Linked DNA regions of Arabidopsis thaliana. The protein of the gene in region 2 purifies or fractionates together with the protein of the main gene of each other region. This does not show direct contact. Each region holds a gene or a part of one and is shown on either strand. Other genes may lie near its edges.

Region 1 (9,225 bases), on a different chromosome or scaffold from region 2:
ACTGAAAGCTTAACACAAGCTGTGCGTCACAGAGTGAAAGAGAGAGAGAGAGAGAGCATTATAAGAACCTTAAGGCTGAGAGTGAGAGAGTACTCGAGCTTGTGAGCCATGTATCGGACATAATTCGTGATGGAAGCCATCGTTGAATGCTTGCGACTTTTAATCGGAAGGGACCTCTTCGCCGCGTCTGTTATCTCAGCCTCGTCGCCGCCGTTGTCGAACTGGTGGTCTTTTATGGGTTCGTCGGTCATAAAAATCTCGTGATTTCCAAAATTGCCAAAAATAGTTCATATCTTTAGGAAATATTCAAATTAGCCTCAAAACTATTCTTTAGTTTTATAATTTTGTCCTATATTAAACAAAATTATCACTTTAACCCCCACCAGGAAGCTTCTGACCAAACTTTCGAGTTAGGCTTTGTCAACATGGCACGTGTTCAACAGTCCTTCTCTTTTTTTTAACTCTCTTAACATTTCCTTCCGACAGATTTGCTTGCAGATTGAAGCTAAAATAATCAAAGACAAATACCAAACACAACAACAAATTTTCCAGACGATTTGAATTTGATCATCTCTAATAAACTTCGTCGCAGGTTTGTTCGCTCCTCTCTTCTTTTTCTAGTGTACTCAAGGATCAGCACATTTGAATTTATAGATCCAATTTATTGTAATTGTTTTCTTCCCTGATCTCTATTCGTTTAGATTTTGGTTGATTGATCTCGATTCGGAGTTTACGGTTGTACTGTTTAGTATTATATAGAACGATGGTGACTCGAAACTGATTCGGAAATCAAATTAGGGTTTTTTTAGGGCTTCGTTAAATTAAGCAAAGTCTGGGAAAATTGTGCAGAGAATATGGACAAATTGAAGATAGCAGAATGGGGAGAGAAGCTGAAGACTGGTGGAGCTCAGATGAGCAGAATGGTGAGTGAGAAAGTGAAAGATATGCTTCAAGCTCCAACCTTGGAATCCAAAATGGTGGATGAAGCTACTTTAGAGACTTTAGAGGAGCCTAATTGGGGAATGAACATGAGGATTTGTGCTCAGATTAACAACGATGAGTTTAACGGCACTGAGATTGTTAGAGCTATCAAGAGGAAGATCTCAGGTAAGAGCCCTGTGAGCCAAAGGCTGAGCCTTGAGCTTTTAGAGGCTTGTGCTATGAATTGCGAGAAGGTTTTCTCTGAAGTTGCTTCTGAGAAAGTTCTTGATGAGATGGTTTGGTTAATCAAGAACGGAGAAGCTGATTCCGAGAACAGAAAGCGAGCTTTTCAGCTTATTAGAGCTTGGGGACAATCCCAAGATCTTACTTATCTTCCTGTTTTCCACCAGACTTATATGGTAAATCTCTCTGAATCTTATTTGCTTATTATGCAAAGATGGAATTGTTCATATGCCTATAATCTCCGGCTTGTCTTTTGTTTCATAGAGCTTGGAAGGCGAAAATGGATTACACGCTCGAGGTGAAGAGAATTCAATGCCGGGACAAAGTTCTCTGGAGTCTCTTATGCAACGGCCTGTTCCAGTGCCTCCACCTGGTAGCTATCCGGTTCCTAATCAAGAACAGGCTCTTGGGGACGATGATGGTCTTGACTATAACTTTGGGAACTTATCGATAAAGGATAAGAAAGAACAGATTGAGATTACACGGAACAGCCTCGAATTGCTCTCTAGCATGTTGAATACTGAAGGAAAGCCAAATCACACAGAGGTAGTTGCTACGTTGTCTGCTCATCTAACTTTTGTCATTTTCCTTAACAAATGTCTATGGAATATGGATTGAGTTATGAGTATCTCCTGGTTTACATTATTGTTTCCTTGGATATATGTGCTTAAAGTGAAATTGACAGGACAGTGATAAGTAATAGGTTTATATATATTATGGTTACAGGACGATCTAACGGTTAGCCTGATGGAGAAATGCAAGCAATCGCAGCCATTGATTCAAATGATCATAGAGAGTACAACAGACGACGAGGGAGTCCTGTTCGAGGCTCTGCATCTGAATGATGAGCTCCAACAAGTTTTATCTAGTTACAAGAAGCCTGATGAAACCGAAAAGAAAGCCTCCATTGTGGAACAAGAATCATCAGGAAGCAAAGATACTGGTCCGAAACCAACAGAACAAGAAGAACAAGAGCCTGTAAAGAAAACGGGTGCTGATGATGACAAAAAACATTCAGAAGCATCAGGATCCTCCAACAAAACCGTCAAAGAAGAGAAGCAGGCCGTGAAAATAGAACTGGGGCTTTCGAGTGATGAAGATGAAAAATAAGCAGTCTGTGTTTGTTGTCTTCTTCCGACATGGATATCAGAATGTTGCGAAGAGTTGTTCTTGATGGTTTACTTTTAAATTATAACAATGTACTTCCATTATAAGTGTGGAACCTTTTTAGCTTCGTTTCTCACTTTCTGTTTTAAAGTGGTTTCTTAGACATTGTTAAACCGTAGGTGAATCTTCACCCGAAACATTTATACGAGGTGTTTTGGTTTGCACTTAGCCTATTGCTTATGTGTTGAGAGGTGAGTATCTACATCTCCTCTGGATTATATAAATGGCTTGATAAAATTCACCTCACTCTCCGATAAACTCGCTCGAAATGATAAAACGAAGTCTAACCTTTAATGTGTTTAATGTGTTTAGTCTTCTCAAGTCAAATAATAATCGGAGTCTTGGTCTCTTGGACGATGCTACACAGGGATATTTCAAAAGTTTACCCTTATCACCAACTAGAGAACCCAAATTAGGTCTTGTACCGATTGTAGAGTATATGTCTATACGATACTTCTCACTGTCTCTTGGACGATGCTTCACAGTGATATTCCAAAAGTTTACCCCTGTCACCAACAAAGCCAAATAAGGGCTTGTACCGATTGAAGAGTATATGATACTTCCCACTACACTTGAGTAAAGAACTGTCTTCATGTAATCATTATAACCATCTTGTTATGCTTACTATCTTCTTCAAATCGCAGCTTTCAATCTAAAATGAACTCCTAAGTGACATACGACTAATTTTGCTTCATCCATCGCAAAACGCAAACATCTTTTAAAACTTTTACTGAATTTTTTCTGCAGTAAACATAGTGAACCCGGTTTACGTTCTGGTTTAGACGTTTCAATTTTTTCTAAATTGGGCCGATTGACATATAATTGGACCCGACCCATCAACATATCCCACATCGTTACAAATAGATTTCAATTACTATAATTTAATCAATATATACCGACTAAAACTCTCTGTCCGACGTAGAGTCTTCCAATCAAAACCTAAATCTAAATTTTTCATTCCCTTGTTCCGGCGATAACAGTCTCAGTGGCGACAAACCCTATTGCCGAGCCAACTCGCATTTTCCTCTAGCTATCGCAACGCCTCTCGCTCTCTCTCCCCACCGGTTCGTCTTCTCACTCCTTAACTTTGTTCAGCTTGTTGATTCTACCCTAGGTTATTGCTCTACTCCAACGCTTCTGCTCGACTCTCGCCTTGTTGTTTTTCTTTAGTCCAACTTAGCATAAGCTTCTGCTCGATTCTCTCCTAGGGTTTTGCTCTAGTCTAATTACCTTAAGTTTCTGGTTGATTCTAGCTTTTTCATGGTGTTCTCTTGGACTTGGTGTTGAGCATTAGAGGAGATTACTCGCCAATGGGTTAAATAAAATATGTTGCAGAATTGCTATAGTAAATAACCCAGATAGATCTATCAAAAGCTTGATTTTGTGGTAATGCACTCATTTGACTTTTTTGCCGTTATTGTTTATCTGCTACAAAATCCTGATTGCTCATGGGATTCTTTTTTGACAGGTTTACATAAAGATGGAAAGTAGCTTGTATGATGAGTTTGGTAACTATGTTGGACCTGAGATTGAGTCTGACAGAGATAGTGATGATGAAGTAGAAGATGAAGATCTCCAAGATAAGCATCTTGAAGAAAATGGTTCCGATGGCGAACAAGGGCCTGGGGGTTCTAATGGCTGGATTACCACTATCAATGATGTTGAGATGGAGAACCAAATTGTTCTTCCTGAGGATAAGAAGTACTACCCTACTGCTGAGGAGGTTTATGGTGAGGATGTTGAGACCTTGGTTATGGATGAAGATGAGCAGCCTCTTGAGCAACCCATTATCAAACCTGTTAGAGATATTAGATTTGAGGTGGGGGTCAAAGATCAAGCAACGTATGTGTCAACACAGTTTCTTATCGGCCTCATGTCTAATCCTGCGCTTGTGAGGAATGTTGCTCTTGTGGGGCATCTACAGCACGGCAAAACTGTCTTCATGGATATGTTGGTAGAGCAGACGCATCATATGTCTACTTTTAATGCTAAAAACGAGAAGCATATGAAATATACAGACACACGAGTCGATGAGCAGGAGAGAAATATATCAATCAAGGCGGTTCCAATGTCTCTTGTCCTTGAGGACAGTAGATCCAAATCATACCTGTGCAATATCATGGATACCCCTGGACATGTCAATTTCTCTGACGAAATGACTGCTTCTTTAAGACTTGCTGATGGTGCTGTTCTGATTGTTGATGCTGCTGAAGGAGTGATGGTAAGTCTTTACTCTCTCTTTTTTGGTCTGTATTTTTAATTTTTTGAAGTATACTATTTGTACTGACGCTAATAATCTTTTTTCAGGTTAACACAGAGAGAGCTATACGGCATGCAATCCAGGACCATCTCCCTATTGTAGTTGTTATCAATAAGGTACTTCATGCTTCAACGTGTAACTTAAGAGATACTGTGTGAAATTTTATATTTCCATACATTTGCTTGACCTTTGCTTTTTGTCAATTTTTTTCCCCCAACAGGTTGACAGGCTCATAACTGAGCTCAAACTACCTCCAAGGGATGCTTACTACAAGCTGAGGCATACAATTGAAGTCATTAATAACCACATATCTGCTGCTTCAACAACTGCTGGAGACTTACCTCTTATAGACCCTGCAGCTGGAAATGTATGTTTTGCCAGTGGTACAGCCGGATGGTCCTTCACATTACAATCTTTTGCTAAAATGTATGCCAAGCTTCATGGTGTGGCCATGGACGTGGATAAGTTTGCATCTCGACTTTGGGGAGATGTATATTATCACTCTGATACTAGGGTATTCAAGAGAAGTCCTCCAGTAGGTGGTGGAGAAAGAGCATTTGTTCAGTTTATTCTGGAGCCCCTATACAAGATATACAGCCAAGTGATAGGTGAACATAAGAAGAGTGTAGAGACCACCCTTGCAGAATTAGGAGTGACTCTGAGTAATAGTGCATATAAGCTGAACGTCAGACCTCTACTTAGGTTAGCCTGTAGTTCAGTGTTTGGTTCGGCATCAGGGTTCACTGATATGTTGGTAAAGCACATTCCTTCACCCAGAGAGGCTGCAGCTAGGAAGGTCGACCATTCATATACCGGAACCAAAGATTCCCCCATTTATGAATCAATGGTAGAATGTGATCCATCTGGACCTCTCATGGTTAATGTGACAAAGTTGTACCCCAAATCAGATACTAGTGTTTTTGATGTGTTTGGAAGAGTTTATAGTGGTAGGCTTCAAACAGGGCAAAGCGTACGTGTACTAGGAGAAGGGTATTCACCTGAGGATGAGGAGGACATGACTATAAAAGAAGTGACGAAGCTATGGATATATCAAGCTAGGTATAGAATACCAGTAAGCAGTGCCCCTCCCGGTTCCTGGGTTTTAATTGAAGGTGTCGATGCATCCATCATGAAAACTGCGACTCTGTGTAATGCAAGCTATGATGAAGATGTCTACATATTCCGGGCTCTCCAATTTAATACCCTCCCAGTAGTCAAGACTGCAACTGAGCCTTTGAATCCTAGTGAGCTGCCTAAAATGGTGGAAGGGCTTAGGAAAATTAGCAAAAGCTATCCCCTTGCGATTACCAAAGTTGAGGAGTCTGGGGAACATACTATTCTAGGCACAGGTGAGTTGTACTTGGATTCAATCATGAAGGACCTCAGGGAGCTCTATTCAGAGGTCGAAGTAAAGGTATCTAATTGTATCTCTAATTTGGCTCTATGACTGTGATTCCGGTGTGCAAGCAAATTGCTGATTTGGCTGTTTGATAGCTAAGATCCTTTTGCTTTCTTAAATTTGTAGGTTGCAGATCCGGTGGTCTCCTTCTGTGAGACAGTGGTTGAATCTTCGTCGATGAAGTGTTTTGCTGAGACACCAAACAAAAAGAACAAAATAACTATGGTAAGAGATCTTCTTTTTCCACTATTATCTCTTATATATTAGACTGCGATGTTTGGTATGGTGCTCAAGCACAATTACTTTGTGAAAAATCTGATATCTGTTTCATGCTAAAGATTGCAGAGCCATTGGATAGAGGACTTGCAGAGGACATTGAGAATGGCGTTGTAAGCATTGACTGGAACAGAAAACAACTTGGTGACTTCTTCAGGACGAAATATGACTGGGATTTACTTGCTGCACGTTCCATCTGGGCTTTTGGCCCTGACAAACAGGTGAAATGCTTGTATTCTTAAAACACTGCAATCTGGGGTTTACTTTATCTTTATTGTTATGGTTGGTTTATGTCTGTTTTGACAATTTCATTGATTGTTGATTTTCGACTGATCAGGGGCCAAACATATTATTGGATGACACCCTTCCAACTGAGGTGGACAGGAACTTGATGATGGCAGTGAAAGACTCCATTGTTCAAGGGTAATCATCTTTCTTCTGTTACACTTTTCTTTTACTCGATTTTGTTGGCTTTAGCTAAGTGGCTTCGTTTTATTCCTCTTGCAGGTTCCAGTGGGGTGCTCGTGAAGGTCCCCTCTGTGATGAGCCCATCAGAAATGTAAAGTTCAAGATTGTTGATGCACGGATAGCACCAGAGCCATTGCATAGAGGATCTGGTCAGATGATTCCAACAGCAAGACGTGTTGCATATTCAGCTTTTCTAATGGCAACTCCAAGGCTAATGGAACCTGTCTACTATGTGGAGGTACATAATCCCTTTCCATTTTTGCTCGTCACATTTTTTCTCTTAAAATGATAACTAAGAGTTATGGTTTTGTCGCAGATACAAACACCAATCGACTGTGTAACTGCAATCTACACAGTTTTGTCACGTAGACGTGGGCATGTCACATCTGATGTTCCTCAACCCGGTACTCCAGCTTATATCGTGAAGGTTAGTTTTGTTTGTGTCTTTTCTCCTTACTTTGTTCCTGTTATTTGACTAAGTGATGATTCATTGAGTATATTCTTTGGTGTTGATGCAGGCCTTTCTGCCTGTGATAGAGTCCTTTGGGTTTGAGACAGATCTGAGGTACCACACTCAGGGACAAGCCTTTTGCCTATCTGTGTTTGATCACTGGGCCATTGTGCCAGGAGACCCTCTAGACAAAGCCATCCAGTTGCGCCCACTTGAGCCCGCTCCTATTCAGCATCTAGCTCGGGAATTCATGGTCAAGACCCGCCGTAGAAAGGTATTATGATTTCCTTTGTTTCAATGCACATCCCAAAACTTAGTGGGTTTCATGCGGTTAAAGATACGAATGAAACCATAAACTGATTTGTTACTCTAGTGTTTGGTTAAATGACCCCAGTAAACCCTCACAAACCAAAGGATCCCCGAAACTACTGTTTACAAACCCGGCCCTTGCTAATTACTCTTTAACCAAGTAACACCAGCTATAATTTGCTGGATACATCCTAGGCTAGTTATATTGTATGACTCGTTGGGTGTTTGGATCATCAGTTTCAGACTCTCACGATATGTATAATTTGTTGGTTATGCAGGGAATGAGCGAAGACGTCAGCGGAAATAAATTCTTTGATGAAGCGATGATGGTAGAGCTTGCCCAGCAAACAGGCGATCTCCATCTGCAGATGATTTGATGATCTCTGCACTTTTTTCATATAAATCGTGATTCAGGACTAGTAGTAGTATCTTCTCTTCTCTATATATGTGAAAGGAGAACAAGAAAATGTGGATCAGTTTTGTAATTGATGTGTCAAATTTACGTTGTAAGTTGAGAGATTTTAATGAACTCAACAGTCCACATGGTCACACTCACACATGACTCGCAAATAGTTGACAGGAAATGTTCACAAATTTTTGTAAAATTGTAAACTACTATTGGATTATGGGAAACTGAACTAGGTTATGACACTATCATTTATAAGATGATCTCATAGTTTGTTGTCTATATGATTAGTAATTATACATATGATACAGAGAACGTACGATCCAGATCCTATTTCCGCAAAGAGTTTTCTGCATAACTAAGATTTGATTCTTCAAAAATGCTAAATTTAAAGATAAACCAGGTCAATGGCACAAACCTATCTAGATATAAGTAAGTTTTTCTTCATAATTTAATTTAGTGCACACAGACGACTTATTTTACTCCAATGAAAATCGGTTAATTCGTCAAACGTCACTACTTGTCTCAAAGATTTGTTGTGCTTTACTATTTTCGTCTATTTCATGCTTCCATAATCAGCTTTTTACGTTGACGTGCTCTTTACAAATCGAAGTGGACGTGGCGGCAACCACTTATACTTATTATACATAGAATAAAGCTACAAAATATATAGTTAAGGCCCTGGTGGATTAATATATACATCGTTTAAGGTTTTAGATTGGTCTCCTCCACCTTATTTTATGTGCATTGCCAACTCTGAAAACGTCATGCCTTATCTTCATTGGTTATATCCATTTGGCTCCATCAACCAAACGACGATAATGATTTTCCACATATCCTATATACATTTGGGTTCGGTAGAATTACTACAATACTCAAATTGCTTTTAATTTATGTTTTAGTTTATGGAATATGAATTGTGAGTTTTTTAAAAAATAATCTCCCAATTAAATATTATTAGCTTTTAAGTTTCTATTTCAAGTGAAATCAGTTAGCTATGCATGTCATTCAATATAGACATAATTTTGTTTTCTTCCATTCGTTTTACAATTTTTAACTAACAGAAATTATACATTACGTCACTTACTACGTTCCCACTAAAAATAGAGGCAAATGCAATCAAGTGATGACGACCTTTCAAAAATAAATATTAAGAGATATATAAGAAGGGACTAGCTAGGTAGATATGACTAGATTCCAACTTAATTAACGTATTTAATTTCTGCATAGATGGACGTTAATTAGGACTTTAGCTTCTCTATAAATACCGTAGCTATTGAGCTTATATATGGAGATCACCCCCTTAAAATCTTCAAAGACTATAT
Region 2 (6,682 bases):
GGACCATTAATCTCAAACTTATACTCTTGCATCCTAATGAGCCAATAAGGACACACAACATTGACAAGAAGCACAAGAGAAAGAAAGACAAGGAAGAAGAGTCTATGCAATGCATAAATAGAGTAAAGCGTCAAACCCATTAGAGCAAAGGAGAAGAGAAGATGCAACCCAAAGTTGAATTTCTTGATGCAGTAAGTAACAAGAGGCGCAAAGAGAAAGACTTGAAGTGAGAATAGCATCACAGCAAAGACATGGAGCCTAGAAGGAAGACGTGAAGCAACAAAGACTGATGCTACAATTGAAGCATTGACAGATATGCAGCTTGTCAAATTCGGAGTTTTGAGTGCTCCTGGAGCTCTAATGGTGGAACCAGAGTAATCATGCAAGAAGAGATGAAGCAAGAGGAGTGAAACAGTGACTGCCCATATCGAATCTGAGCTGATAGATCGCGTGAGAGTCTGGTAAATCGGAGCTAAGATATAAAGTCCCGTGGTGAAGAAGGAGATGTTGACGAGGTAACGCAAGAGGAGACTCAAAGATAACATTTTTTCTTCGGTTAAGAGGAGAATTAAGAATCCTGATGCTAAGAGAGAGAGATCAAGTAGCAAAAGCGAGTTCTCGTCCAAAGATGATTCAAGAGTGTGAACCCAAACCAAGACTACAAGCGCGACGATGCAGAGGTATTGGGAGATTGAGACAGAGTCTTTCATCACCTTGAGCAAATCACGTCTCACTACGTTTGCGTTCATCACCATTTCCTCGAGGAACGATTCGTCTGTGTAATTGTCGTCGTATCCGATTTGCATTCCTCCGTAGGCTACTTTCCTCCATTTGGGTCCCGGAATTGAGTCTCCGGCGAGATTACTTTCCATTGGGGAGGTTCCGGATTCTTGGATCCAAAATTAGGGTTCTTACGTCACCTCGATCAATTCAAGTTAGAGCGAGGGATGCGAAAGCAAACGATTCGTCCAAAGAGGAAGCTTGAATCGAGAGGAAGGAGGATCTAGTGAATTTGTGATGCTATTTTTTGAAATAAGAAAAAGTAGAGGGAGTAATTGGCAAATAAAAATTAAGAGATTTAGTACTCAAGTAAAATTATATATCAAACGATACATGTGAGCAAACTCGTGGATGAGAAAGTATCTCATGAAGCAACAGAACAGAAGACATGAAGAAAAAAAGATTATTGATGATGACAGAACAAAAAACAGAGTAGCTCTTAAAAGTAAATGATCAATCAAAATGTGAGGCCATCAACTGCATAATGAACAACTAGTTGAGAGCCATCGAACTCAGGTATACCAATTCAGTTATCTTCTTCTTCTTCTTCATCTTCATCATCTTCATCTTCCTCCTCAGATGCTTCTTTGAGCCACTGTATGAATGTATCACATTGTTTCAGATATACTTTGTCAGCTTCATCCGCGCCTGCCTTCTCTTCCTCCCATCTCAGTATCGCATCTTCTTGCAACACGTCCTTGTCATATAGAAGATGTAGAATTTGTGTGAACAAAGGGCCCAACTCTTTGTGAGATTCCTGACACATCTCTTCAAATTTCATGATCACTTCTATCTGTTCATCAATTTTCTTTGCGTAGAAGCCAAGAAGATCCTTCCATTTTGTAATGATACTCGCTGCGTTTTTATACAACTCACTACCAGAATTGTGTGGAGTATCAAGTGCCAGTTTTATCATCGAGAAAAATGTTGCTCCAGCACAATCTGCAGATTCCATGTTGAATGACAACCGCAGCCCGTTAATCTCCATAGTTACAAGGTCCACTTTGATATTCTCTTCAACAGCCCTTAAGACGGTCCCTTCAACCTCTTTCTCAAAGTAATAGTAATCATCATTGGGATCATTCACATCAGTGTTAATACTATCAGCATCAGATTTCAACTCTCCAGAAGTCGGGACGACACTTTCATCATCTGTGTCATCATCGTCTATGGCCTGAGTAATCTCAGAAAGTTTATCCTTGGGGATTGGTGCAACAGAATGCTTCCACTCCTCATCATGAGCCCCTTCACATACTTCCCATATGTAACCTGCTCCATCAGGACCAAGCTCAGATGCTTTGGACTCCATTTGCAGATTTAGGCCTGACAAATGATCCGCAGTCCCGCTGCTACTATCAGCATATTCCAGCTCTTCATCACTGTCTTCTGTCGTTGGCTGTTGAAGTAGGGAAACCTTTGAGTATGCAGGCACAACAAAGTCCCGTCCAACTACAACATTGAAAGACAAAACAACACCAGGCTGCAGAACAGCTCCTGCTCTGATTTTCACCCCATCACACACAATAGCGTTCCTTATCTCACACCCATCTTCAATAGTAACATTGTTCCATATGTATGAGCCTTCAATCACCACATTTGATCCAATAGAGCATCCATTCCCAATAACCGAGTTCATGATTTTATCCCCATGACCAATTTTCGTACCGTATCCAATGACAGTAGAAGCTCCAACATCAGCAGATCGTGATTGAACTACATCAGAAGCCTTGTATATCCCTTGTCTCCCGAGCTTTAGAGGCCGATTTCCACTGAAATTAATATCTGGTACATAAGGATATGTCCACCTCTGAATTATATCCTTGCTAACAGTGTCATAGCTTCGGAAATTATCAATCCTACCAGCATAGCTCGAGTGAATCTCATGAGTGAAGATTTTATAACCCATAATATCATCCACAAGCACACCTTTGACAAAATGACGACGCAGATGTTGATAATCAAAGTTATCCTCAAAGAGACTAAGCACTTCAGGAGAACATATGTCAATGTAGCAATCCTGCATATCATTGCATACTAAAACAGAAGGATTAGTATCCAACAATGACTTCTCTAAGCAAACTGACCCACTTGGATGATCAATCTTATCTTCCTCGTAATGAAGAAGCTGCTTTGTCAAAGGATCAACAGCAATGAAAAGCTGATCTGTTCCTAATCTTGACTGATGCGTAAGTGGAGAAGATTTAGACTGCTTAATAACCATAGTCATAATAGCTTTCTCATCTTTCTTCTTCCTCTCTCTATGCTCTTGAATCAAATCAGCAAGTGGCATATTACTCACAGTATCTCCACTAACAAGAACGAAATCACCTTGAATCTGAGACGTCTCTGTCTGTTGTTCATACATGTAACGCAAAGCATCTCCAGCACTGATGGATTTGTGCGACTCAATCGTTCTCACAAGCAAGTTTGGATGCGAATACCACTCGGATTTCTCCAGATATTCGATAACCTGCATCGAATGAGCACAACAGAAGACGAAAACCTCCTCTATTCCAGCAGATTCGAGCCATGCCAATGTGTAATCAATCATCGGAACATTAACTATCGGTAACAGTACCTTTGGGCGTTCTAGGGTTACGGGACGAAATTTCGTGGCGAAACTGTCGGCAAGAAGAATTGCTTGCAATCGGTGGCGACTCTGTACCTCCGCATCCTCTGAAACCCTAGCGGCGGCGCCGCCTTTCTTCTGAGCACCCATATCTCCTCCTCTCTCACTGATCAAATTCGATCTCACGGGAAAATCTAAAACCCTGAGTATAAACTGAAGTTAATTTATGACGAATTGAGAAAAGAGGATTAAATGTACATCTTTTAAAAATCTGAAGGACTAATATGACAATTTATCATTTTACAGCCCCCTAAGAGTAAAAAAGCACTGAATTATGTATGTTATCATCATGAATTTTCATGGTTGAAGTACTAAACGAAACGGTAAGAAGACGCCAATAAAGACAATGAGAGTTATGAAGGTGACGTAGCAAATCTAACAAGTGGGGAGGTTTATGAATGGACAGTACACAAAGTTGAGGAAAGTCAGGGAAGCTGCAAAAATACAAAAAAACTGTCTGAAACTTCTACTAGTCAAACAATGGAACAAAATTAGATGGTGTCTCTTTAGCTCTTCTTCATTAACAAATCTTTGAAGCAGAGAGAATGGAAGGTGAAGAGAGAGGATACTGGAGATGGAGCAAGAGAGATTTCTTTCCTGAGGAATCTTTCCAGAGCTTTGGTAGTTACAGAGCTGCTCTGTCTCAGACATGTTCCAGGTTCAAGAACAGGTTGGTTAGTAGGTCTGATGATGAGAACGAGCGGTTTGAGCTCAAGAAACAGAGTGAGCACGAGATGAAACGGTGTTTGACATGGTGGGATTTAGTATGGTTTGGATTCGGGTCGGTGATTGGAGCTGGAATCTTTGTCTTGACAGGTCAAGAAGCTCATGAGCAAGCAGGACCAGCTATTGTCTTGTCTTATGTTGTTTCAGGTCTTTCTGCTATGCTCTCTGTCTTCTGCTACACGGAATTCGCTGTGGAAATCCCTGTGGCTGGTGGTTCTTTCGCCTATCTACGGATTGAGCTTGGGGATTTTGCGGCGTTCATCACTGCAGGGAATATACTTCTTGAGAGTATTGTTGGAACTGCAGCTGTTGCTAGAGCCTGGACTTCATATTTTGCAACTCTTCTGAATCGTAGCCCGAACGCTCTACGGATCAAAACAGATCTCAGTTCCGGTTTTAATCTCTTGGACCCAATAGCTGTTGTTGTTATAGCCGCTTCAGCTACAATTGCATCGATCAGCACAAGAAAGACTTCATTGCTCAACTGGATAGCTTCTGCTATCAACACTTTAGTGATATTTTTTGTTATAATCGCTGGTTTTATCCACGCCGACACATCAAATTTGACTCCATTCTTGCCTTTTGGACCTGAGGGAGTGTTCCGAGCAGCTGCAGTTGTGTACTTTGCATATGGAGGATTTGATAGCATAGCAACAATGGCTGAAGAAACCAAGAATCCATCAAGAGACATACCAATCGGGTTACTCGGTTCAATGTCGATAATAACAGTGATATACTGCTTGATGGCATTATCCTTGAGTATGATGCAGAAGTATACAGATATAGATCCAAATGCAGCTTACTCAGTAGCGTTTCAGAGCGTTGGAATGAAATGGGGAAAGTACTTGGTGGCACTTGGTGCTCTCAAAGGGATGACCACAGTTCTTTTAGTAGGAGCATTGGGACAAGCGAGATACGTTACTCACATCGCACGGACCCACATGATTCCGCCTATATTTGCCCTTGTCCATCCCAAAACAGGAACACCGATAAACGCTAACCTCCTAGTAGCAATTCCAAGTGCTCTCATTGCTTTCTTTTCTGGTTTAGATGTTTTGGCAAGCCTCTTATCGATAAGTACTCTCTTCATCTTCACAATGATGCCTATCGCACTACTCGTGAGGAGATACTACGTGAGACAAGATACTCCAAGAGTTCATCTCATTAAGCTCATCACTTGTCTCTTATTCGTCGTTGTTTCTTCAATGGGTACTTCGGCGTATTGGGGAATGCAGCGCAAGGGATCATGGATCGGTTACACAGTAACAGTTCCTTTCTGGTTCTTGGGAACTTTGGGGATCGTATTCTTTGTTCCTCAGCAACGAACACCGAAAGTGTGGGGCGTACCGTTAGTGCCATGGCTCCCGTGCTTATCAATAGCAACAAACATCTTTCTCATGGGATCTTTGGGAGCAATGGCTTTTGTAAGGTTTGGTGTTTGCACTTTAGCCATGTTACTATACTATTTCCTGCTTGGTCTTCATGCAACATTCGATATGGCTCATCAGCAAATTGTGCCAAGAACATAACAACTATGGAAAACAGAGAAGAAATGTAACCTCTGAAAAGGTCTCTTCCTTCCACCCTAGTGTTATTCTGCTTTCTTCATGAACTGCTTCGTTCTGTATTCTCTGTAATCTGCAAAAAGTAAAGTTTGTATATATAAGAAAAGTCTTTTTCACAAGGACTCTTTATCAAAACATGAAATAGAGTTAAGTACACTGAATCCAAACTATGTTGCAAAATTGTTCTCTCAGGCTCCATTCTCGTCATTTAGAGTTCAAATCAACCAGTTTCGAAATCCTCTGCAACCTAAATTGACTTCATCCAGTTATCTCAAATCTGTTACTAAATTAGTTACATTGATCAAAATGTACAACGCAAGTGGCATTAAGATAGCAACAGCATCACAGCATTCAGAAACATAAGAAGACAAAGACTTACCAGTACGTTGACGATGAACTCTAAAGAATGAACTAATCCACGTCATTGGTCCAAATATAGGTCAAAACTCAAGGGAATATTAGCGTTTAGGGTCAGAAAAAACAAATTGAACTTGAAGGATCAGAGGAGGACGAACACTGAGCAGAGAGATGGTACTTGTATTCATATGTTTGAAAGGATATTTATTTAAAAACAGGACAGGTAAGCAAAAGCTTTCATAGCTCAGTTGGTTAGAGCACCCGTTTAGTAAGCGGGAGGTCTTGAGTTCAACTCTCAATGAAAGCAATAATCTCTTTTTTAGTTTTTAACTTACGTAATTTTAAACTTTTTGCATAAATCTTTCAAATCCTTAAATAAACGCCTCAAAATTTTGATTCTTTACAAAAAGGACCCATATAACAAGATTCAACAATCTTCATTTGAGATGACAAGAGTTCCTATATATTTACTTAAAAGAGTCTTGGTTAATGCTTTGGCTATCGAGTGGTATGTACTGAGACATAATGGACACGATCTCTGAATCCATGTATGACTGCAAAGTTGTAGTTTTAATGTATATATAAAAGGATCGTTAGAGTTTGATGCAAAGGGTAAGTCATAATA
Region 3 (6,903 bases), on a different chromosome or scaffold from region 2:
TAATTGGGAAACACATGACACAACAAACTTTACGTCCTTTTTGCCATATTTAAGCACTCTCTATAACAATGTCCCCGACCCCTACTCCAATAATCTACTTCCCCTATTCTACTATTGTGGTCCAGTTTATACCATTATTTATAATCCAAATTTTAGTTTATGATCAAACTTTCACGTTATCAACGAGAATCGCATTCATGATTTGGCTAAGTAAGATTTTCTAAGCCTAATATTTGTATTCAAATCCTGTAAAGCTGAGATATCCTCTCTTACAATAAGTCATGAACGCACAACCCCAATAATGAATGAAGAGTACTCATGAATGAAAATGGTTCCAAAAACATGACACAACAAACTTGACGATATCATCTCTTACAAGTCTCGATACGAAGTTAGTAATATATCTCTTCGTCCACAATTGACTACATAAATATTTTTATGTATGTAGAACAATATTGAATGTAAACTAGGTTATTAATTACGAATCCATTATTTGACTTGCGTATTAATCATTTGTTTTCAATGTTCTGATAAATCATATTCCTTTGAAGGACCACAACTCCATCTCCATGATCAAAGGACCACTCGATTTTCAATAATCTCCTTGAGTTTTATCCCACTAGTCTATATGAGATAGACAACATTATAGTGAATATGGTTATAGAATCTGGATGGTTTATATCAATTTAGACATCATGTAGAAGTACATCTAAACTGTTGGTTTAAGGTCGGCTGGTAGTGTGCACCCATGATTTGGCAACATCTAAACTGGTTTGGTTAATAGATCATGGCAAGTTATTACTCCCCTAACCTCATTTCCTCTTCCTGTAATATATATTGATCTTGTATTTAAAAACATAGAAAGAAGTTAGATTTTGACAGTTTGAAAACTGAGGAAAGTGTTGAGAAAGAGAAGAAAAACGTTTTTCAAGAGATAGTTTCAAGAAATCAACTACAAACAGGCATTTATCAAAGGTGACAAGTCATTGATCTTCGTTCGTGATTTCATCCGACCTTTTGATTACCAAAGTTCCTGAATTTTTTTATTACTAAACTGGGTTAAGGTATGTGTTTCGGTTTAAATTTCTTACATATACAAATGTGAAATTAAGTTTGTAACCGAAATTCTGTTTCTCATTCAAAAGACGTGATTGCATAAATTATCATCATTTATTTGCTTTGCAAACAAGAAATATTAATTTTGTGGGGATAGATTCATGTTAATGTGGGAAGACAGAGAAATATCGACGTCAAATCCTTAGACCCATATGTCTCAATAACTTCCAAAACGTTATTCAATTCCGATATAAAATTGGGACCATAAACTGATCATAGAATCATTCATCTCTATATATAAACACAAAAAGGTTCAACAAAAGATAATTCTATATAACCAAAGAAAAAAAACTCTCTTCCAAAAATGGCAATTAGGGTTTCCCACAAGTCTTTCCTCGTCGCACTTCTTCTCATACTCTTCATTTCCTCTCCTACTCAAGGTAAATTTATAGCTAATATATATATACACACAAGCGCGCTCACCTCACGAGTTTCTAGCTATATCAAGTATAATTTGAATGAATCTTCTTCTTGTTTTTTGGTTGAATATCAAAATATATTACCCAATAATGAGTTCTTGATATATAAACATTTTGATTTTTTAGCACGAAGCTTACGAGAAGTAGTAAGGAATAGAACGCTATTGGTTGTGGAGAAGAGTCAAGAGAGTCGGAAAATAAGGCACGAAGGTGGAGGAAGTGATGTTGATGGATTGATGGATATGGATTATAATTCTGCGAACAAGAAAAGACCGATACACAATCGCTAATAAACACACATGAACTTATCGAATTCTTGTGAGATATCCTGAGATCCAAAGATATCCCGAGATTTTATCTTTTACTAAACATAAATTATAAGAAGTGAGAATGTATTTTATATAAGAAAAGAAGTGAGAATGTAAACTATTATTATTTATAGGAACATATAAATATAAACGACTTTGTATGCATGTGTACAGTATTATCTCGAGGGAAAACAGTTCTATACAATAATCATAGCTTGTGTGTGCTAGCTTTATGTATGGATTGCATCATGGTTTTCTGTTTGTGAAATAAAACTCTATAATATATTATGTGTATATAGAAACCCACAAATATCTTCTTTAACTCTGTTGTAGTATTAGTTCCAATAAAATAAAATTACACCTCAAAAGAGTATTTGCTGATTTTATATATCGAATTCAAACCTACGGAAGCTCCCATCCCATGAAGGTGTTGTGGATATTTGATATCAAAATATGCATATACCAAAATACAATCAAATAGATTATAATTTAAAGTAATAGGACTTTGGAAAAACTAGGCAACATACCAAATAATATATGGGATCAAAGTTTTCGACAAATATCGATTGGTTTTCAGTCTCCAAACTTCTTTCATTTAGAAGGATAGAACTTAAATTCATTAGTGTCTTAATTTTGTAGTTCCACAAACAATAATCCTTGTCTTAACATATAAATTAGTCTTATAAGTCAGTAAAATCATGGTGAAATTTCTCTACTGCAAGTGGAAGGATTCAAAAGAAAGAAAAATAAATCCGAGCAATTGATGGATTTTCTGTTACTGTTAGAGAGTTGCCGAGGCTCGAGCGATAATGGGCCTTAAAAAACTTACTCAAATGGGCCATATGGACCTTAGATTTTCATTTATTACAAATGGATCCTATAGTTTCGTTCATAACATATTACCCAACAGCTATTTGGGTATGACCCTACAGGCGACAGGTAGGTTTATTCAATATTTACCTAATAGACCCAATAGATACTTTTATTACATATGTACACCAAAAGTCTTACACTATTTCGTTAAAAGTCCCAATAAATAAAACGTTATAATTAGGCCCAAATAGTCTGAGCTAAGCTTTTCTTGTTCAAGGGGTTGGGGTTTCGACGCTAACATTCTCTCTCTCAGTGAACCTTTAGAAGTTAAATCTGTTTCATCACCGGAAAGTTTCACTAACTCTTCTTCTCTCTCTCGGAGTATTGATTCCCGGCGTTTAGCAATGGCAAGTCTCCGATTTCACAGATCTGATTTTCAACTCTCTCTCTCTCTTTTCTCTTCCGTTCGAATTTTGGTTTGTCAAATTCGATGTCGTGATTTGATTGCAGGAAGAAAGTAGACAACTCGAATCGTCGATTGATCGGCTGCTGAACGAAGAGAAACAGATGAGGCTCGCAGAAAATGTCGCCGGAACTAGAAAAGCAGCTACCGAGATTCTTAAGCTTTGTTTCGAAGCTAAGGATTGGAAACTTCTCAACGAACAGATTTTGAATCTCTCGAAGAAACGTGGTCAGCTTAAGCAGGTCACACTACTTTCTATCGATTTAGCTTTTGAAACCTGCTTGTGGTAGTTTAAGGTTTTCGATTACTTGGAACGGTTTCTACTGAGTTCTGAATCTTACTGAGAAATTGAATGAAGAACTGAGTGAGATATTGAAAGTGGTTAGGTCTCTTGATTTGCAGGCTGTACAATCCATGGTGCAACAAGCAATGCAGTATATTGATCAGACACTAGACATAGAAACTCGGATTGAGCTTATTAAGACTCTAAACAATGTAGCTGCTGGAAAGGTGCGGATTAGAGTTGGCTATTGTTGTTGTTGTTGTAGTTATATTTGCTTGAATCTTGATCACTCCGTGCAAGTTTTTTTCTTGATGAATATGTGTGTGTGAGCATGTGTAGATATATGTCGAAATCGAGAGAGCTCGTTTGACCAAGATGCTTGCTAAGATTAAGGAAGAACAAGGTTTGATTGCTGAAGCTGCGGATCTCATGCAAGAAGTTGCTGTAAGCTTTTCTTCCTCTACTTTCCAACTTTCGTGGAAATCGTTTTTTATTTATTTTATAGTTTATCAATGTGCATTGATTGTGATTATGAATTATAGGTGGAGACATTTGGTGCTATGGCAAAAACTGAGAAAATTGCTTTCATTCTTGAACAAGTAAGACTTTCTGTTATCTTTTCATATTTCTTAAGCTTTGTGCTTTGTGCTTTGTTCTTGTTTGTATGTTGTGATTCTAATTATTGGTGTGTAAACTTCTGAAGGTCCGCTTGTGTTTGGATCAAAAAGATTTTGTCCGTGCACAAATTTTATCTAGGAAGATCAACCCAAGAGTGTTTGATGCAGATACCACGAAGGAGAAAAAGAAGCCTAAGGAAGGTGAAAACATGGTAGAGGAGGCTCCGGCTGATATACCTACATTGTTGGTGCTAAAACGGATTTACTATGAGCTAATGATTCGGTAAGTCCTTGATTTGGTTTAATACATTCTTCGCCAGTTATTGGTGTCAAAATATTTGAATATTATTCTCCTCTGAATTTTGATTTCCCTTTACTTCTGTGATCTTTATAGTAAAAATATAATGTGCTGATTCTGTTGTGTAGGTATTATTCTCACAACAATGAGTACATTGAGATATGCCGTAGCTACAAGGCGATATATGATATCCCTTCTGTAAAGGAAAACCCAGAACAATGGATTCCAGTAAGTCTCGTATTGTTGTTTGGATGATCTTGTGGTAGTCTACGTTCTGTAATTAGCTTGGATTAACTTTTCTCCCTTGATCCTCTAAATATAGGTCCTGAGAAAGATTTGCTGGTTTTTGGCCTTGGCACCACATGATCCAATGCAATCGAGCCTACTCAATGCAACCTTGGAAGATAAAAAGTTATCAGAGATTCCTGATTTCAAGTAATTCTCTTTATCTTGATAAAAATTTGGGTTTTCACTACTCTTCCCCTCGTTCCCATCTGAAACAGATTCTCAATCCCTATGTTTATATTCTGTTGCAGGATGCTTCTAAAACAGATTGTTACAATGGAGGTGATTCAGTGGACATCTCTCTGGAATAAATACAAGGACGAGTTTGAGAATGAGAAAAACATGATTGGAGGCTCTTTGGGTGACAAAGCTGGTGAAGATCTCAAACTAAGAATAATCGAACACGTAAAGACTCTTTGAGCTCTAATCTATCTTTACCTCTTTGATTGCATCAATTGTTACTGAAGAGTCTTAACTTTACAAATTCTTCACATCTTCTGCAGAATATTCTCGTTGTCTCAAAGTACTACTCAAGGATTACCTTTAAGAGACTTGCAGAACTTTTATGCCTAACCACTGAGGTAAATATAGTTTCAAAATACTCTTAAGTGTACCAGTACATGTTTAAATCTCTTCTTACCGTTTCATTATATTTCAGGAAGCAGAGAAGCATCTATCTGAAATGGTTGTGTCCAAAGCCTTGATAGCAAAAATCGACAGACCATCAGGAATAATCTGCTTCCAGATTGTTAAAGACAGCAACGAAATCCTCAACTCGTGGGCAACAAACTTGGAGAAGCTTTTGGATCTTGTTGAAAAGAGTTGTCACCAAATTCACAAAGAAACAATGGTTCATAAAGTTGCACTAAGAGCTTGAGAACCCGGTCTAGCCACACACATCGGTGGAAAGAATCTTTCAGGCTCTCGTTCTAACATAATCATTTGAGTTTTCTTTCTCTGCTTGGTTCGAACACATTTTTTTTGTGTTCTTTAGGAGACCTTGCAAGATTATATACAAAACTCTCTTTTTTTTCCTTTCTCCATGTGGTCTTTTTAATGTTTGTTACAATGAAACGAAATTATAATGCAAAAATATAATAAATTAAGAAAAAAAGCATGAGAGGATGAAAGCAGAACAATACAAACAACCTAAACCCTATAATATTTGGAAAAATAACTCTATAACATATAATCATTTTCCTGTTTTCTATTACTCTATAGTGAAACAAATAAAATGAAGCAAGTCATCAGGAGGATGGACTATTATTGTAGTTATTACTAGTCTTGTCTGATGGCCATTGTATATCCTGGAGATAACCGGTTTCGCTAGCTGATTCTGGTGGCGGCTGAACAGCAGCCGGGGAAAACAGAGGACGAGAATGAGATGATGATGACGACGTAGATTGCATCATTGAACCTCCAGTGTGACCGAAACGCAACGGAAACGACATTTGATCGTATAAATCCAAAGATTGTTGATGATGTTGCTGAAACTGTTGTTGTTGACGAGCCATTTCAGAGTAACTCAAGTTGTATGATTGCATCAACGGCTGCGAATGAACGCTTTGATTCGAAGCAGGTCTTATGGGCAAAAGGGTAGTCGTTGAACCCGAGTTCCTTGACTGGGTCGGTCTTTGAGCAGCGGTTTGGTGCACAGGTTGTGCTTCGGTTGAAGCAGGTCTAACGAGTTTGACGTTTTCAGGGAAGTTGAGTTTGGCTTTGTTGCCTCTAAACCGAAGTGCAGCTTCGTCGTAAGCTCTTGCTGCTGATTCAGCATTGTCGAACGTACCGAGCCAAACTCTAGCTGCTTTAAATGGATCTCGAATCTCAGCCGCCCACTTTCCCCATGGTCTTTGTCTAACTCCTCTGTATCTTCGCCGAGGTTGGTCCCCACTAAACGACGACGTTTCGCTACTAGCAGTTGCCGTAGTTGTATACTCGTATGTTGGGCCCGGACCTGACATGTTACTCGAAGCTTCTCTCACTGCAAATAAACAAACAAACATGTAAAATTTCACACTTTTGTTGTCACTCGTGAATTAACACTTTCTTACATAAGAAAAAGAATCGATAATATTAATGTCTCCAATAAAGATATTATAAAGTTTTTTTTTTAAGAGCGAGTATGAGAAAGTGATGAGGCAAATGGGTGACAAAAGGAATGAACAAGTAGAAAAAAAAAGGAAGTGGAAAACGACTCTTGATGCAATTGGAGGGAGATAAATTCTTTTGGCATATCATCATCATCATCATCATTTTCTTAATTAAATATCCAACCTTTTTACAACAATTCTAAAGTAT
Region 4 (9,178 bases), 620 kb from region 2:
AGTTGCCGAATAAAAGACTACGGAATAAAAATTAATCAGTTTATAAGATTAGACTCGAGTTTATATGATCTATACATGTAAGCAAAATTTCAAAGACAAAAACATCTACGCATTGCATGAATAAAAATGAAAGCAATAATGAGAAGAGAATTACGATGGAAAGCTGATCGTGAGAGTGAGACGAGATCATGTCTTGCAACATGTTTGTGTTCTTTGTATATCTCCAATGTTAATGCGAAAACTTTCTGGGAAAATAAAGAAAATTCCCGAGAAAATATGAATTATAGCAAGAAAATTAATGAACGAGGCTTCAAGGATGATTTGTGGAATAATATTGGAATGAGTGATGTATGATGAACAAGAAAATCCATGGAAGAAATTCAAATATTGGGAGGAAAAAACAACAAAAACTGAAAAAACAAAGAGGTAATTGAATTAAAAACAGAACAAAGGTTCTTCTGTTTGGACAGAGAAGAAATTCAAATTCTTATAGTTTTCTGGAAAAAAAGAGGTTATGGGAGTTTCACGTAACAATCATACATATATATATATACTTTTGGTTTTATGTGTATGTATATATTTGTATATACTAAACTAATGCATGTGTGTTTCAGTGTATGTACAAATTATTTTCACATAATTTTTATAATATATTCCAGCGTGGACTTGATGCAAAAATGTGATACCCTCGATTCTCCTCTTCACATGACGTGGAAAGCCCACGTAGATATAATGGTGTTGACGTGGGTAAAGGATCTCACGTAGGAGGAAACTATTTAGACCGGTCAATGAGTTTGACCCAATTCTTGTTCCGTGGATTTTGACGTTTTTGACTGAAAATCGTCCTAAATTAAGCCCTATATTCGTGGAATTAGTTTCTATGTTTTTAATTTAGATATGCATTTTTCTATCTTTTATCTCGTTTGCTAATTTTATTGACTTGGCTCATGATTTCCCGCAAAGGAGAGAAAAAGATTTCGACCAGGTCAGTAAAGTATTAGAAAATAGAAGATATCTAAAGTAAAATGCTACTGGACAAAATGTCTTTGGACAATAAGCATATTATTTGCCTTAAGAAAATATTTAGGGATATCAGATAAAATTCGAAAACAATGTTTAACCAACTTCGAACATTTTTTTTAATAAAAAATATGAAAATGATTTCATATAGAAAAATGCTTTGATTGTGACAGTTTGAGCATAGGGTCAATGCATTGTTATTCAAAATTGAGAATATTTCACTTTCGTACACTTTTGTTATTCTAATAACCATAAGGTCCATAACAGAAAAAAATTAATATGAGAAGATATGTGTGTAGAGACTACAGGCTACATGCTCGAGATCTCATTATCGGTACGTAAGACACAAACAAAAGTACGAGTCGTACGTGTTATCCATCAAACTATAACTTACGAGTGTTTATTTCACATTTATAGTCTTCAAATAGGTAAACACGGATTCACTTTTTGTTTAAGCCCACGATTTACATTTGTACTTGTGTTGCCGATAAAAATAAAATATTATTTTAATGGTTTTGAAAGCGTTTTTGGTTACTATAGTAGATCTTAAGTGTTTTTTGTATTTCACTTATTTCATTACATGGAAAATATAGTTCTCTTCTTTTTATTTGTTCTAATCATGAGACATCAACATCGCCTTTCAGTATCTTATTTTGGTCACAAAAGTCTATCTACCATTTGAAAATCATTGTCAAGAGTCTATCTAGTTATTCTATGTCCAAAAATATTATTACTTCACTTTCAAGTCGTCTGCACAAACTAAATTTTATATGAGGTTTTTTTTTTGAACACAAAATTGTGTATGAGCTTAAACTACACTACACACGTGCATAATAGCGATTAAGACACATATTATAAGGATTATCTGGGTGTAGAAGTTCAGAATTTGGGATTACGAGAATTGCAATAAATTGTTTACAGATTAAAATTTAACGAAAGGAAATTAAAATAAAAGTAAAACAGCTTAAGATCAAAGCTGATTTGATGAATTGATACTTTTGAAGATATGACCATCTTCATATAAAGTCTGAAATGCAATATATGCATCACGCATTATCCAAATAGAAAACGACCACCACTTTAATTTCAAGATATAAAACCAATACCTAAAATGAAGAAAATTTATATATGCATGTGCATCTGTAATATATAATCAACCATTAATTATCTATATATAATTACGATTCACCAATATTAATTACATAATCTCAAACGTTATACGTACGTATTATTTAGGGTTGAAAACAAAACAAAATGTCATGCGTATATGAACTATACATATGCGTCATTAGCTCGTTCTTCAATCTAGGTTTAATATGAAAAATAATTTTTTCTTCATAAATATCTTTTTCTTGGAGCATTGTTTTTTTTTTCTTTTTTCTTTTTTTCTTGGAGCATTGTATTTGTATGAGAGTTCGCTTTCATCTTTGGATCCTAAGAATATAACTTTTATGCAAATAGAAAGGACACAGCTATTGTGCTTAGGATGGTACCCTCATCGTCCTATCTTTAGACATTAAAAATAAAATACCATTGATTTTGACCTTAGGTATATAATTTGTATATCGAACCCGTGGAGGTCGCATTTGCAACGTGAATCCATAACGATATACCAACAGATAAACCATATCTCTAATTGTCAATGAAATGTACAAACATATATCCCTTATTCTTTCATCTTAGAACATATTTTTAGGATCTCTTGAACGGTTGATTTTGTTTGTTGTGATCGAGGATATGTTGTTAATTGTTATTTGATTGTTGGTGAGTATGGAGTGTTGGTGGGTAATGGGTATAAGATAGGCGATTAAGATGCAAAGAACAAACCTACCTCGGTCTCATTCGATATTTGTGCTCGTTCTTTAGATTAAAACATAGTCGCAACAACATATAACAAAAAAAAATCTGTAACAAAACAATGGGTTTGTTTTATAATCTAATGAGTAAATGTACATGAATCAACCAAAATTACTGAATGCCCAATTTTAGTTCAACATGAGTTAAAACAGATTTTAAAACTAATATAAAACGTCGTCAATTTCAAATTCTAATGGTTGGATCGATTTAAAAGCCCAAATATAAGAAGGTGATCGTTAAAGGCCCAATTAAATTGAATCCCTAATATATCAAGTGAGAGTGTTAATCGTCGTCTCTCTCTTCAACCATTTCCCGGCTTCCGCGTTTTTGCTTTGTAGCGCCGGACCGGAGAAGATAAAACCCTTGCTCCGCCCCACTCACAGGAAGTTCTACATCGACCTGAGTTCTCGTACTTCGTCGTATCACTCGTTCTTCCTACGATGAACTGTGCAAGTAAAGCTTTCAGTCGTCTCTCTCTATTTTTTCTCAATATGCCGATTTAGGGTTTTCTTATGGTTGATGTTGGTGGCGGCACTGTGTTCTTTCAGTTTCAGGAGAAGTTCCCGTGGAGCCAGTGGTTTCGACGAAGTCAGGATTACTCTTCGAGAGACGACTAATCGAAAGACATATATCGGTAAGCTTTGAGCTGAATTAAGCACTGCCAAGTACTTTTACCGTCTTGTTTTTTTTGTTCTCACTGGAAGGATTTCTCGTAATTTGAGTGATGTTGTTTGGTTTACTTCGGATGATTCTTGTAGCACTGTGAAATTATCGAGAAATTCTTTTGGGCACCAATGAGATCCGATCTCCAGTGAGAGCTCTTTTAGATTATCACGCCACTTGGAAATGAATGATTTCTTCTAAATTATTTTCCTCTGTAGGATTATGGGAAGTGCCCGGTTACTGGCGAACCACTTACCATTGATGACATTGTTCCCATCAAAACTGGGGAGGTAGTGTAATCTCTTTAACTATTTGATGCAAAGTACTGTTGACGATATTTGTTTGAGATTTTTTAATGTAATTGTCAATTGTGTAGATCATAAAGCCGAAAACATTGCATACAGCTAGTATCCCTGGATTGCTCGGAACGTTCCAGAATGTAAGCTTTAATTGTTCTTTTGCAAATTTGTTCCTACCTTTTCTCTTGGATTTATGCTTGTTTTCTTAATGGGAAGTTCACTAAGAAATGTCACAATGTTTTATGTTATTGGTCATGTAGAGTTTGGTTGATTGACTTAAAATAAATTTTCCAAGGTTGTTTCTTAAATGTATACAAGATTCGTTTAACTGAACACATTGGCCTCTTCTCTTTAGTAACATTATTACGCGGATCACCTGCTCCTTTTCTGAGTGCTAATCAACATAAATTGTTCATTTTTTTGGGATGAATTATTCGAAGTAATTGCGTGAGAAGTTTAGCTGCTTTGCATTTTTTAGGAATGGGACGGTTTGATGCTATCAAATTTTGCACTGGAGCAACAACTACATACTGCAAGGCAAGAGCTAAGTCATGCCTTGTATCAGGTAATTTTGGCTGTGTGTTTCTGTCACCAGTTTATGAGGTGCCATGGTCAATAAATTTGTTTTATGCACCCTAGATTTATTTTCCTCACTCATTTCATCTTTTAGTGTGTTTAGTCTACTGATGGGACTGTTTTACCTTCTGTTTGCAGCATGATTCTGCTTGTCGTGTGATTGCTAGACTTAAAAAAGAAAGAGACGAAGCACGCCAATTACTGGCCGAGGTTGAGAGACATATACCTGCGGCCCCTGAAGCTGTGACAGCTAATGCTGCTCTGAGTAATGGTAAACGAGGTATGATTGTACACTTTTTACTCAAAATATATTGGCTAGTTATTTTTTCCTCTTGTAACATGTCACTATACTCTTTTGTTGTATAATAGCTGCCGTTGACGAGGAACTGGGTCCTGATGCAAAGAAATTGTGTCCTGGAATTTCAGCTGAAATTATTACGGAATTGACTGATTGTAATGCTGCTCTTTCCCAGAAGCGAAAAAAGCGACAGGTACTGCACATAGACTCGTATCTATCTTTGAATATGCATTTGAATGTTAGAAGGCAAGACCTGACGACTTGCTACGTTTATGTATTTTTTCTTGTTTGTAGAGGCATGTGATTTATACTCACTATATCTATTTAGATCCTAGTATTCGGTTTGAAACTTAACTAAAAAAATGTTGCCCTCCTGCCTAGTCTTGTGATTTTTTTTGTATTGGTTCCTGCTGTCTTGATAATTTTAATATTTTTCTGTAGATTCCTCAAACATTGGCGTCAATAGATACTTTGGAGAGGTTCACTCAGCTATCAAGCCACCCACTTCACAAGACCAACAAACCAGGCATTTGTTCGATGGACATTCTACATTCTAAGGTCCCTCATCTGATGGTTTTTTAATCACATCCCCTTATTCTTATTTTCCTCTGTTTCTGAAAGCCTCTTCATAGCATGTGATAACCGACTGGCAAACTTCTAATCTTCTATGTATAAATTATTTGAATATAGCCTTGAGTCCTTGGTTGGGGAATGATCATATCATTGTTATGTCTTTTTTGCATAATATTTTTATTTGCCTATTACATACCTATATGCTGTGTGTGATAGTTTGTATTACGACCACGACCAGGGATTCTTTGCATTTCTTTGATCTTATATTATGCTAAGTTTTGGTGTGCAAAAATTTACATCAGAACTATATTTCTTCTTAATTCGGTGACCAGGATGTCATTGCTACTGGAGGAGTTGATGCAACTGCTGTTCTCTTTGATCGCCCTTCTGGACAAATCTTGTCAACACTGACTGGTCACTCGAAGAAGGTTTTTAACTTTTTGCCTTAGATTTTTGTTTGAATTTGTTTCATGTAGCTCCATGCTTGATATGTGTTGATTCTTTTGTAGGTTACAAGCGTAAAATTTGTAGGCGACTCTGATCTTGTTTTGACTGCTTCTGCTGACAAGGTAATTTCATATGTCATATTTTATGAATAGTGCTTGGTATTAGTTCTATAGGAAATTGTAATCCCACATTGTGTATTGCCTTCGTTTTGAAAAGTAGTAGCCGGCAGATGCATTTGTTTATTTGTATTGTGAAAAGATGACTAGTAGCCATTGAATCTTTTTCTGTAGATGTCATGATGCTATCTTTGAAAACTTTGTTTGCTGCGAGTTATAAAACACATTTTGATCACTCACACCAGAAGTCTCTGTAATTTGTTGGATGCTCTGTTCGATTTCACAGAGGATGTACATCACCAATTGTTCGATAGTTATCTTTTTATTACTAAATTAGTGACTTACCTGCAGACAGTCCGTATCTGGCGGAATCCTGGGGATGGGAATTATGCTTGTGGGTATACATTGAATGATCATTCTGCGGAGGTAAGGATGAATTTGAGGAACTCTTACAGTCCGTTCCATGTTCTTTTAATTCATATACTTTTTGTGTAACTTTAGTTAATGATGCTTTATTCAGGTGCGAGCTGTAACTGTGCATCCCACAAATAAATACTTTGTCTCGGCATCTCTTGATGGTACATGGTGCTTCTACGATCTGTCCTCTGGCTCATGCCTTGCACAGGTCCCTAAACACTTTCCTTAAAGAACCAACTAATACCTGTTTTCCTTTCTAGCTTTGCCTGTATGCTATATAACAGAAATGATTATATATATTTACAAGAAACAATTGTGTGGATTATACTTTCTTCATGAGCATTTTCATATCAGCTAAAATCCGTGGTTCGGTGTATGGTTAGAGTACGAGCTCCTTTACTCATGAAAGCCTTTGTCATATTCCTTGTTTTTATTCAGGTATCAGATGATTCAAAGAATGTAGATTACACGGCTGCTGCTTTTCATCCCGATGGTCTCATTCTCGGAACCGGTACTTCTCAATCTGTTGTTAAGATTTGGGACGTTAAAAGTCAGGTAAAAACTATGGGCTTCCAAACTATATGACCTATTAAAATTATTAATTGTGTACAGTGTTCTTCATTATAGTTTTCATTTTTTTGGTTGATAATAGGCAAATGTGGCTAAGTTTGATGGACACACTGGGGAAGTTACAGCTATATCTTTCTCTGAAAATGGTTACTTCCTCGCGGTGAGTACTTTGAACAAAATACGAGAAGAGAGAATACAGCTTAAGTTATGCTTACATGAATGATTTTCTTTTTGTCCTGGAATTGACAGACAGCTGCAGAGGATGGTGTTAGGTTGTGGGATCTGCGCAAGTTAAGGAACTTCAAATCATTTTTATCTGCAGATGCGAACTCTGGTACACAACTATCGTATCTGTTTCTACTCATTTTGTTGATAGAGAACTTTCTATGTATTATAAGCTCGCTTTGATTAAACCTACTTTTTTTTTGTGTGCAGTGGAGTTTGATCCTAGCGGATCTTATCTCGGTATTGCTGCATCAGATATCAAGTGAGTACACATTTGAAAATAGTGATCAAAACATCCAAAGCTCAGCTAAAGAAAATATCCAAAGAGACCAAGCTAGCTTGATTAATCTGCACGTTGGGTTAACACAATTTATGTGTTTTGGCTGCAGAGTATACCAGACGGCAAGTGTGAAAGCTGAATGGAACCTTATCAAGACACTCCCAGATCTCTCCGGCACTGGTAAAGTCCCTTACCTAACTCCTTCAATGATCACATAGCGATAATGTTGCTAATTTCGAAGCCCTTACACTTGCAGGTAAAGCTACGTGTGTGAAGTTTGGTTCAGATGCACAGTACGTTGCAGTCGGTTCGATGGACCGTAACCTACGGATATTTGGTCTTCCTGGTGATGAAAAAGCCAACGTCGATGATGACTCTGCGCAAGACTCGTGAACAATCCGTAAAAAACTCAGACAGAACATTCCAAATGTCCATCTCCAGTGTTATCTCGCTCAAATTTCTCAAGTTCTGTTGTATCTTACAGTATTTGCAGCAATGGGGGAGAATTTCATAGGTGCGGGTCATGAGTGAGTGGTGATTGTGATCATCCTCGCTACCTCTTGGAATTCAAACAATGACACTCACAAACCCTCGAGTTTTCTTATAGGCTCTTTTAATCGCTTTGTACCTTCAATATATGTACCAAAAAATGTGTTCTTTCTGTTGCCAAATGAATTCAGACACTAATGAAGATCCCAAACCGATGGTGCTAAACCGCATTTGGTATTATTTAATCTGTTCTAGACAGTGGTGGTCTGCTTAGTATTCCGTATTCCAACAAATGATTTCAGCTGGTCTCTGAGAACAAAATTTTAACTAAATGTTAAAGAATACCCTTGACTGTACTTGGTCAAAAATCACTGGGCACAATATTTACATTTATCCACGAATATCAGATTCGTGATTCCTTTTGCAATTCCAGGATTAGTTTAACTTCACGCAAAAGATAATGTTTTGTAATACCCTTTCTTTATTGTGACCAGGATTGACAATTCGTGTTAAGGTATAACCACGTGTTTCCTCACAATTCTAAAGAATGCTTATGTTTCTCCCTGTCTATATTATTTTTTTAATTTTGTCTGAAAATACTAAAATAACTTGAACAAATCATCGTATAAAAACTACAAAATACATAAACTAAGCTTAAAGAAATACCTACACGATGAACTTTTTATATAGTAATTAGTAACAACTACAAAATACATAACCTTACTAGCTACTGGGAAAAAAATTGTCCAGTTTTAGATGATCAGAGTAAATATAATACTAATTGTCTTCCATTTTAATTATTGTCGAAAACGTGTTTTCATAAAGTAACTATTATTGGGTTTCATTACTAAATTCTAAACATCAAATGGAATTGAAACCAAAAGAGTAGTTATTCTAATTTTAAAAAGTTAGGTGTTGAATAAACAGTTTAAGTGAAATCTAATAATCAAAGACTGCAATACACACACCAAGCTCACTGTACTGTCTTTAGACTGGTCAGTGGTGGCTGAAGAAAGAAAAGAGTGTTTGATTGTTATATTAAAAAATAAAGAAAACAAATTACGCTCCCTTCTCTACAGACTCTCTCTATCCTAATCCTATTTCTTTTTCCACATCTCCTAAAGAAAGAGAAAAGAGTGGTCATCCATCCATCCACAGCCTCTTACAAAATCTCTCTCTTTCACCATTAACACCAAATTCAGAAAACTCAGAAGAAGCAAAATAAAGAGCTTTTACTGATCCACCAAACACAGAATTTCATAAACTCCCAAAAAAGTTAAATTCCAAACAAGCCCCACAACAACAACAACAACAAAAAAGATTTTAATCTTTCTCATTTACCCATATC

The links.
Region 1: the proteins of AT2G34970 (region 2) and MEE5 fractionate together in Arabidopsis thaliana (co-fractionation; one large-scale study listed by BioGRID). This does not show direct contact.
Region 3: the proteins of AT2G34970 (region 2) and RPN5B fractionate together in Arabidopsis thaliana (co-fractionation; one large-scale study listed by BioGRID). This does not show direct contact.
Region 4: the proteins of AT2G34970 (region 2) and MAC3B fractionate together in Arabidopsis thaliana (co-fractionation; one large-scale study listed by BioGRID). This does not show direct contact.

The regions. Positions count from the first base shown.
Region 1 is NC_003070.9:1,896,713-1,905,937, forward strand, and holds MEE5 (Ribosomal protein S5/Elongation factor G/III/V family protein), read left to right. Parts: upstream 1-3,238; 5' UTR 3,239-3,395; intron 3,396-3,520; exon of another isoform or gene 3,521-3,584; 5' UTR 3,585-3,717; intron 3,718-3,799; 5' UTR 3,800-3,811; coding exon 3,812-4,552; intron 4,553-4,638; coding exon 4,639-4,707; intron 4,708-4,811; coding exon 4,812-6,005; intron 6,006-6,116; coding exon 6,117-6,215; intron 6,216-6,328; coding exon 6,329-6,487; intron 6,488-6,603; coding exon 6,604-6,689; intron 6,690-6,773; coding exon 6,774-6,972; intron 6,973-7,050; coding exon 7,051-7,161; intron 7,162-7,252; coding exon 7,253-7,459; intron 7,460-7,772; coding exon 7,773-7,871; 3' UTR 7,872-8,185; downstream 8,186-9,225. Other genes in the region: AT1G06200 (Peptidase S24/S26A/S26B/S26C family protein), read right to left, coding at 69-251; AT1G06210 (ENTH/VHS/GAT family protein), read left to right, coding at 855-1,340, 1,429-1,710, 1,891-2,274. UniProt on the Arabidopsis thaliana protein: Splicing factor involved in pre-mRNA splicing and component of the spliceosome. Essential for reproduction. In female gametophyte, is necessary for the egg cell and central cell fate determination and hence reproductive success.
Region 2 is NC_003071.7:14,743,157-14,749,838, reverse strand, and holds AT2G34970 (Trimeric LpxA-like enzyme), read right to left. Parts: upstream 3,604-6,682; 5' UTR 3,500-3,603; coding exon 1,307-3,499; 3' UTR 1,056-1,306; downstream 1-1,055. Other genes in the region: SETH1 (phosphatidylinositolglycan synthase family protein), read right to left, coding at 1-872; CAT5 (cationic amino acid transporter 5), read left to right, coding at 3,955-5,664; VSR5 (VACUOLAR SORTING RECEPTOR 5), read right to left, coding at 6,525-6,611.
Region 3 is NC_003076.8:25,892,603-25,899,505, reverse strand, and holds RPN5B (regulatory particle non-ATPase subunit 5B), read left to right. Parts: upstream 1-2,919; 5' UTR 2,920-3,060; coding exon 3,061-3,063; coding exon of another isoform or gene 3,064-3,067; exon of another isoform or gene 3,068-3,166; coding exon 3,167-3,361; intron 3,362-3,521; coding exon 3,522-3,629; intron 3,630-3,741; coding exon 3,742-3,846; intron 3,847-3,944; coding exon 3,945-4,001; intron 4,002-4,105; coding exon 4,106-4,302; intron 4,303-4,445; coding exon 4,446-4,545; intron 4,546-4,639; coding exon 4,640-4,752; intron 4,753-4,853; coding exon 4,854-5,007; intron 5,008-5,105; coding exon 5,106-5,183; intron 5,184-5,260; coding exon 5,261-5,479; 3' UTR 5,480-5,726; downstream 5,727-6,903. Other genes in the region: RGF9 (root meristem growth factor), read left to right, coding at 1,421-1,496, 1,662-1,825; ABR1 (Integrase-type DNA-binding superfamily protein), read right to left, coding at 5,850-6,586. UniProt on the Arabidopsis thaliana protein: Acts as a regulatory subunit of the 26 proteasome which is involved in the ATP-dependent degradation of ubiquitinated proteins. Acts redundantly with RPN5A.
Region 4 is NC_003071.7:14,125,140-14,134,317, reverse strand, and holds MAC3B (MOS4-associated complex 3B), read left to right. Parts: upstream 1-3,093; 5' UTR 3,094-3,317; coding exon 3,318-3,330; intron 3,331-3,425; coding exon 3,426-3,511; intron 3,512-3,758; coding exon 3,759-3,830; intron 3,831-3,916; coding exon 3,917-3,979; intron 3,980-4,317; coding exon 4,318-4,404; intron 4,405-4,553; coding exon 4,554-4,695; intron 4,696-4,784; coding exon 4,785-4,906; intron 4,907-5,154; coding exon 5,155-5,271; intron 5,272-5,618; coding exon 5,619-5,714; intron 5,715-5,795; coding exon 5,796-5,855; intron 5,856-6,200; coding exon 6,201-6,275; intron 6,276-6,369; coding exon 6,370-6,474; intron 6,475-6,704; coding exon 6,705-6,821; intron 6,822-6,918; coding exon 6,919-6,996; intron 6,997-7,085; coding exon 7,086-7,170; intron 7,171-7,271; coding exon 7,272-7,323; intron 7,324-7,450; coding exon 7,451-7,521; coding exon of another isoform or gene 7,522-7,526; intron 7,527-7,597; coding exon 7,598-7,734; 3' UTR 7,735-8,177; downstream 8,178-9,178. UniProt on the Arabidopsis thaliana protein: Probable ubiquitin-protein ligase which is mainly involved pre-mRNA splicing and DNA repair. Component of the MAC complex that probably regulates defense responses through transcriptional control and thereby is essential for plant innate immunity.